Linked DNA regions of Diceros bicornis minor. The protein of the gene in region 1 interacts with the protein of each later gene in a pairwise test. Links are inferred from orthologs where the notes say so. Each region holds a gene or a part of one and is shown on either strand. Other genes may lie near its edges.

Evidence for each region.
Region 2: the proteins of NUDT18 (region 1) and PAICS interact in binary tests that used the Homo sapiens proteins (3 or more experiments, as listed by UniProt). The two-hybrid records come from large-scale screens. The link is inferred for Diceros bicornis minor from reciprocal best matches to the Homo sapiens genes NUDT18 and PAICS.

The regions. Positions count from the first base shown.
Region 1 is NC_080750.1:71,746,586-71,750,329, forward strand, and holds the start of NUDT18 (8-oxo-dGDP phosphatase NUDT18), read left to right. Parts: upstream 1-1,240; 5' UTR 1,241-1,251; coding exon 1,252-1,413; intron 1,414-2,364; coding exon 2,365-2,578; intron 2,579-2,813; coding exon 2,814-3,409; 3' UTR 3,410-3,744. UniProt on the Homo sapiens protein: Mediates the hydrolysis of oxidized nucleoside diphosphate derivatives. Hydrolyzes 8-oxo-7,8-dihydroguanine (8-oxo-Gua)-containing deoxyribo- and ribonucleoside diphosphates to the monophosphates. Hydrolyzes 8-oxo-dGDP and 8-oxo-GDP with the same efficiencies.
Region 2 is NC_080747.1:44,044,343-44,048,086, forward strand, and holds the start of PAICS (bifunctional phosphoribosylaminoimidazole carboxylase/phosphoribosylaminoimidazole succinocarboxamide synthetase), read left to right. Parts: upstream 1-1,057; 5' UTR 1,058-1,129; intron 1,130-1,446; 5' UTR 1,447-1,497; coding exon 1,498-1,513; intron 1,514-3,744. Other genes in the region: PPAT (amidophosphoribosyltransferase), read right to left, coding at 543-670. UniProt on the Homo sapiens protein: Bifunctional phosphoribosylaminoimidazole carboxylase and phosphoribosylaminoimidazole succinocarboxamide synthetase catalyzing two reactions of the de novo purine biosynthetic pathway.

The DNA.
Region 1 (3,744 bases):
TGCCAGGCAGCTGGCCCCAAGTCCAATGCTTTGCTCCACAAGCTGCTGTCCCCCAGAAGGGAGGTGCACAAAGCCAGAGAGAAATGAGGGACCTAACAGGATGAGAAAGCCAGACTTTGCTGGCTTAACAGTTTCACTCCAGCTGGCCCTGCCTTCCTGTCCTGAGCAGAGGTTAAAGGAAACTGCGGAGGAAAGGTCAGGCTGGGAGAGAAGCAGGAGCTCGCCAAAACAACCCACACCCTGCTCTCAATGCGCCAGGCCTGCAAACTAGGTGTAGGGGCAGCAAAGAGAAAGGAGCAGGACCGCCCTGCCCTACAAACGCTCTCAGCCCGCAGGGGAGAGGGCCCGAAAACTGCGTGGGAAATGCAGCGGGCAGGGGGCCGGAACACCGACGACGCAGGGCTGGGCCTGTGGATTCCAGGCCCTCTCTCTGCCCCAAATCCCCTCCTCCCATCGCCAGCCACACCCTGACCATCCCAGGCCCGCTCCTTCCCTCCTCTGAGCGCCTATCACACCCCTGCCCAAACCCATCGTTTAGCACTTGGCTTATTAACCCTCAGATGACTTTTTATTGTATGTCAAGGTCCACCTCCCCGACTAGATCAGAATCTCCTCTAAGGCAGAAGCTTGTCCTCCCTGTCACTGTGACATTGAGTACATTTTTGTGAAGGAAGAAGGTTATCTGAGAAGTGATCATTTCGGGCAATGCAGTGGTATGTTTAGGACAGAAGTTGGACAGCGGACCCAAGCCGCCGCCCCAGGCCTCCGCGACGTCATCGGGCTTGTGACGTCACTGTCGTTGGCCTCGGCGGCGCTCCGCAGCCTGCAGGCGGGATGACGTCACCGTCGGAACCGGTGCAGACGAGTGCGCGCTGGAAGAATCAGCGAGGCTGGCGGCTGGAGATGGCCGGGGAGGGAGCGGGTAGGGAGCGACCGACAGAAAGCAGAAGCCGAGCCGAGTCCACTCTCCCCGGGCCGCGCGCCTGCCCCACAGTACGGCCTGGCTCCGCCCCGCCCCGCCCGACGCGGGCCAGCCAATCCGGGCGGGCGGCGGACACGCGCAGCCTGTCAGCGGCGGGCTCGCGGGCGCTTCCGCGTTCGCCTACGCCGGCCTGCTCTCGGGGAGGGGGCGCGGGCGGCCGGCCGAGCGCTCGTCCACGTCCCGCCCCGCCCCGCCCCGCCCCGCCCCGCCCCGCCCCGCCCCGCCCGGCCGGCGGTCTGCAGGCCCGGGCGGCCGCTCCCAGGGGACCGATGGCTTCGGAGGGCCTGGCAGGGGCGCTGGCGGCGGTGCTGGCGGGCCGGGGCCTGCGCGTGCAGGGCTGTGACTCGGGGCCGGCCGGGGAGCCCCTGGCGCCGGCGCGGCTGCGGAAGAACGTCTGCTACGTGGTGCTGGCGGTGTTCCTCAATGAGCAGGTGAGCGTCCGCCGCCGGCCGCCGCCCGGGCCCCGCAGCGCGCAGCTCGCCGGCGGGCCAGAGGACCCCCCCCCCCCCCCCCCCCGGCCACGCCACCGCCTTCTCGTGGGTGGCGCTTCCCAGTTTTGCAAAGCACTCTCACTTACGCACACATCTTGTGAGGCCCAGCCCTGCGATTGTTCCCTTATACAGAGGAGGAAACTGAGGCCCGGAAGCCTTTTTGTCCCATCCCACTAGGCCTCAGTTCCTTGAGGGGAGGGCTGTCTTATTTTTATTCCTCTTCCTTTCCCCAGAATCTAGCGCAGTGCCCCCTGCGGAGTGGGCTCTCAAAGATCTGTCCAGTGCTTCAGAGACTCCCCTGGGTCCCATGGACAGTAATGGCACAACCCGCGCTTACGCTCAGACTTTCTGACCACCTTGTGATGCTCTTTTTGGTGCTGATCCCTGTACAAGTTGCTGGAACAACAAACAGCTAGACGGGGCCAGGGCCATAAGTAGGAGTTGTATGGGTAGGGGCTGGGGGCGCGTTCCAAAGGCTAGACCCCAGTGTGGGGACCAGCCGCAAGCAGTTTGTAAACCACGGGGGAGGTGAGAGATACACAGTGACACATGCAGACACAAATCTGTGCAGGACACATGGCAGCCTCACTGTGGGGCCTGATTCCCAGCCCCTGAAGCAGCTCCCAGGAGTCCCAGCCCCTTTCTGAGATGGAAGTCTGAATGCAAAGAGGGATGAATTGCAGAGAGAGACAGCTGCAGCTCCCAGCCACACAAGGGCCAGTCCCCTGGAGAACTCAACAATTTGAGGGTGTCCACTGGGAGGGGGTTATTGGGCGACTGTATCTGAGATACAATCCGGCCCCAGGGCAAGGGAAGGCTGCTGGCTGTGCTGCTCCTCTGGAATCCCCAGCCTGGCTGTGGTGGGGTTGAGGATCCTCTCTCTCCCCTCAGGATGAGGTGCTACTGATCCAGGAGGCCAAGAAAGAGTGCCGTGGGTCGTGGTACCTACCCGCAGGGAGAATGGAGCCCGGGGAGACCATCGTGGAGGCGCTGCAGCGGGAGGTGAAGGAGGAGGCCGGGCTGCACTGCGAGCCCCTGACATTGCTGTCTGTGGAGGAGCGGGGCACTGCCTGGATCCGCTTTGTGTTCCTCGCTCGCCCCACAGGTACGGCCCAACAGGGGGCAATTGACACCTTTCCCCCAGCATGTCTACCGGTGAGATGAGCCCCTATTCTGGCTGATAGAAGCCTGGCATCTCCAGATTCCAGCCTGAGGACTTGACTGGGCTCCCCGCTCCCCTGGGTCAGAGCTAGAATGCCTGGGTGGCATTTGCTCTGCCAGGCCCAGCACTTCTCTCAACATAGACCCTTCCCCCACCCCATGCCCCACATCTCCCCCAGGTGGAATTCTCAAAACTTCTGAGGAGGCAGATGCAGAATCCCTGCAGGCTGGCTGGTACCCACGAACCTCCCTGCCCACTCCGCTGCGGGCCCATGACATTCTGCACCTGGTAGAGCTAGCTGCCCAGTATCGCCAGCAAGCCAGGCATCCTCTTGTTCTGCCCCAAGAGCTTCCCTGCAGTCTGGTCTGCCAGCGGCTCGTGGCTACCTTTACCAGTGTCCAGACAGTGTGGGTGCTGGTGGGCACAGTGGGGATGCCTCACCTGCCCATCACTGCCTGTGGCTTCACCCCCATGGAGCAGAGAGGTGGCATCAAGATGGCTGTCCTGCGGCTGCTGCAGGAGTGTCTGACCCTGCACCACTTGGCAGTGGAGACCAAGGGGCTGCTTGGACTGCAGCACCTGGGAAAAGACCATACAGATGGCGTCTGCCTGGATGTGCTGGTGACAGTGGCTTTTCGCAATCCAGGCATCCAAAACGAGCCCCCGAAGGTGCGGGGTGAGAGCTTCTTTTGGTGGAAGGTGATGGAGGAAGACCTACAAAGCCAGCTCTTACAGAGGCTTCAGGAATCATCTGTCGTGCCAGTCAACAGATAGGAAGGTGCCGTCACTGGGCAAGGAGCTGGGCATCTGTGCTCCTCTCCGCCACGGCTTTGCCTCCCTCTGAGGAAGGCAGGAGGTTGGCAGTCAGGGATCTTGTTGCATTGGGAGCAGGGTAGTTCTCCTGGCTCTCAGGGGCACTTCCATCTCTCCTCACTGTGGAGCAGGTCCCTACATTGTACGAAAAGAGACAGTGCCTTTCACCAAGCAAGGAGTCCAGAGCTCAAGGACCCAATTGCCCTGAGGGCACTACTCCCTAAGGGGATGTGAGAACTTTCTGAACCTGAGATGGCATCTACTCATCATCTTCTGTGCCCACCCGCCTTGGTAAA
Region 2 (3,744 bases), on another chromosome or scaffold:
GTTTCCCTCAAGTTCCCCTACCTATAACTACCTCCAAATCCTCAATCTGCTCAATAGCTCTGCCCTTGCAAGCAAACAAAAGCTTGTGGTGTTTGGAGGCTCCGCACCAACATCTCAAGGTGCTGTAGGTCCTGGACCAGCAGCCACCCTACACCAGCCTATAACAAGAGCAGCTGAGGCTCTGGGAGAGGAAAACCAGCAAGCAGTCGGGAGGAGCACGGACCACGCTAGCCCAAGCGAACCCGAGCCTTACAAACTGGTCAGACTCAAGAGGCATGCACAAACTGGAGGAGGGGAGAGGGCATCTAGGGAGCATCAGGGGTTGGGGGGACAAGCTAAAGTCCAGAGAGGCAGGGTGGCCCCCCGAGCACGCCTTGGCAACCTGGTCGATGCCACAGGCAAGTACCGGTCCAGGTAAGAAAGGTCTGGCCTCCCGGCCCTCAGGAGCGCGCGCGAGATCGCCAGTTCAGGCCGCGGGAGGCGCCTCGGGCAGATGGAGAAGCACACGCGCCGCCACCCCCCCGCCTCACCCGGCTGCTCACCGGTGCTGTAGCCCCACGAGTCCCAGAGTGATCACATGCGGCACATCTAGCTGCGTGGGCCACTCTCCTGAGGCGATGCACCCGAACACGCCACATTCCTCTCGGATCCCCAACTCCTCCAGCTCCATGTCGCCGCCAAAAGCACGTGGAAGGACCTGCCGCTGCAGCAGGGGTCTAAGCACTAACCACCCGCCCGCTTGGCCCGAACGCCTCAGAAGCTCGCGCCCGCGAGAGCTTCTTCCTTCACAGCGGTTAGACCCTTGCTACTGCGGCGGCGCGAGCTTTGCCTGAGAGAGCGTGATTAGCTCCCCCCCATCACCCTGCCCCGCCCCCTCCGGGCCCACCAATGAGCGAGGACGGAGGGAGAGGCTCTGCGGCTGAGGGCGGAGTCTCGGATTCTGTGGGGTGGAGCTAGTCCTCCACCAGAGGCCTAGGGGAACTGATTTTTCTGCACGTGGAAATCTCCGTTATTTTCCAGAGCCTAATGCGGGGGTGATGAGACTAGCGGGGTTAACATCATTTCTCTCCCAGAAGATATAAACTTTGCGTGCCCTCCCCACAGGCTTTTCCCCGCCCGTCACTACTTGGTACGCTCCAATCTGTGACCTGCACGCGCTGCGGAAATGGGGCCCGGGTCGCGAGCTGCTGTAGAATGGGGAGGGGCTTCCAGTGCGCGCCACATTTCACCTTTCCTGCCACAGCGCCCGCGCGGGCGGGGGGAGGGTCTGCGTTGCTGCGCTTGCGCGGCGGGAAACCTAGGGGAAGCGCTCGCTGCCGGAGTGTAAGTTCCTAGGTGTCTGCGGAAAGGCCCAGGGTTGTGCCCTTGCTGTGGTGCTGGCAGAGAGCGCGGGTGGGCGCTCCGGAGGCGTGTCTGTGAGCGTCTCTGGCCACTCCTCTTTTCCAGAGTCCTGCCTCTCTTCCTAGCGCGGCCGCGGCCCCGAGCCCACGCAGGATCATGGCGACTGCTGAGGGTGAGTAACAGGCTTCCATAGGAGTACGCCGGGGCCGCCCTGTCCTCCTCGGTCTTCGCGTCCCCCGGCCTTGAGCTCGCGGGCTCGCGCGGACGGCATCCTTCCTGGGGCGGTGCTGGGTCTCCCTGCAGCGGCCCCTCTAGGCGGCGGACACGTGGCCCAGGTTCCGCCGAGAAGTGCGTTGAACAAAGCGCTCCCGGGCCTCTCCGAACTTGCTGCAACACCCACAGCTGCCCCCGGGATGGGGAAGAAGAACGAGAAATGGCCAGGGGTTGGAGAGGTGCCTGGAAATGGCGTTTGTAATCAGTAGATGTTGTAAAACAACCACAGGAACCTCTAGTGTTGACTCTTCAAACCAAGGTCTTGCTTTTCTTGTTAGGTTAATAGTAACCTGCTATTCCAGCAAGTTAATAATTGAGCCTTCCAAAAATCTTGCTGTTTTCTGTCCAGATTTTGTGTGTGTTTGTTAAAGTAATCTTTTAATGCCATGATGGCTGTGGAGAGCTCCAAAACCACCAGGCCAAAAAAGTTTTCCTTGCTTCAGTGTGCATTTATCATGTTTACTTATTTACGTAATCATTTTGTGCGTGAGTGGTCAGATCCTCGGGAACGATCATTTGTGCCATTTATGCTGATAAAACGTTTGTTTTCTCCACACACTCAATTTCTAAATTTGTGGTGAACCAAATTGCTGGTGTTGCCCAGTCAGTACGTTCTCTTCCAGGTAGAAAATTTGAATTTAGGTAAAAAATTACAGACTAAACAAAAAGCTCCAGATGATCACGAGTAACAACTCCGTAAAATCAAGGTATTAGACCAGAATTTTTCCTGCCATGCCTCTAAACTGGTAGAATCTCTGAGCTTTTGACTCTTCCATCTTACGTATTCTTGACAGGTTAATATTTCTAAGATTTCACTTTCATGGTTCCTAAATGGCACTTCCTTGCTCAAAAATGTTCAATAGCAATCTAAGTGCTGTTAAAATCCATTCTGAAGACACTTTCATTCACATCCTGCGTACTGCTTGCTTCCAACCTCTTCAGCCCTAACTTTAATTTTTCTCTCTTGTGAATCCTAAGCCTACATTCCAGTCAGGTTAATTCAACAAGTTTACTCTTCTCTATGTTTATTATACTGTTTCTTCTAGAACAGTCCTCTCTAATAGAAATATAATATGAAACTATATGTAACTTTGTTTTCTAGTAGCCACATTTTAAAATGTAAAAAGAAACAGGTGAAATTAATTTTAATGTGTTTTATTTAACCTGATATATACAAAATAGTATCATTTCAACATGTAATCAATATAAAAAATTGGAATATTTTGCATCCTTTTTTTCCATATTGCAATCCATTGTGTATTTTACACTTAACTCACATCTCAATTTGGAGTAGCCACATTTCAAGTGTTTCATAGCCACATGTGGCTAGTGGCAACCTTATTGCACAGCGCAGTCCTAGATGTTCTTACCTCTTCTGTGGAGGTTCTTTACTTTTCAAGACTCTAACATTTCAATTCCACGAATTATTCTCAGTCTTCAGCAGTCTCTTCTGAATTCATCTATGAATTTGTAGCAGGCATTTTGGCACTTGTAGCATATGTGTCCTATGATTGTTTCTTACGTTATTTCTACCCATTAATTGAAATTCCTACCCTATTTATCAACTACATAATAAATATTGATTCAATTAAATAGGGAGAGAGGGGCAGGAGGTACAAACTTTCATTTGCCTTTTATCTAACCTAGGCAACATCCTTAACTCTTTCTTCTCTCTCTTTTTTTTTTTTTTTGGTGAGAAAGATCAGCCCTGACCTAACATCCATACCAATCCACCTCTTTTTGCTGAGGAAGACTGGCCCTGGGCTAACTTCCGTGCCCATCTTCCTCCACTTTATATGGGACGCCGCCACAGCGTGGCCTGACAAGCGGTGAATCCGTGGGCGTCTGGGATCCAAACCTGGGCCACCAGCAGCGGAGCGCACACGCTTAACCGCTGGGCCACGGGATCTGCCCCCAACTCTTCCCTCTCTGTTATCCTCCATATTGAATCAATTGTTCTTAAAATGTTTACCTTTTAAATATCTTGAATCTTTTGCCACTGCTTTTTACTTAGACCAGGACATTTCTTGCCTTGATTGCTGCAATAGCATGCTAACTGCTCTCAGTCTCTAGTTTTCTTCCACCCACCCCTTCCTTATTTCATTCTCCGCATAGCACTCATAATGATCT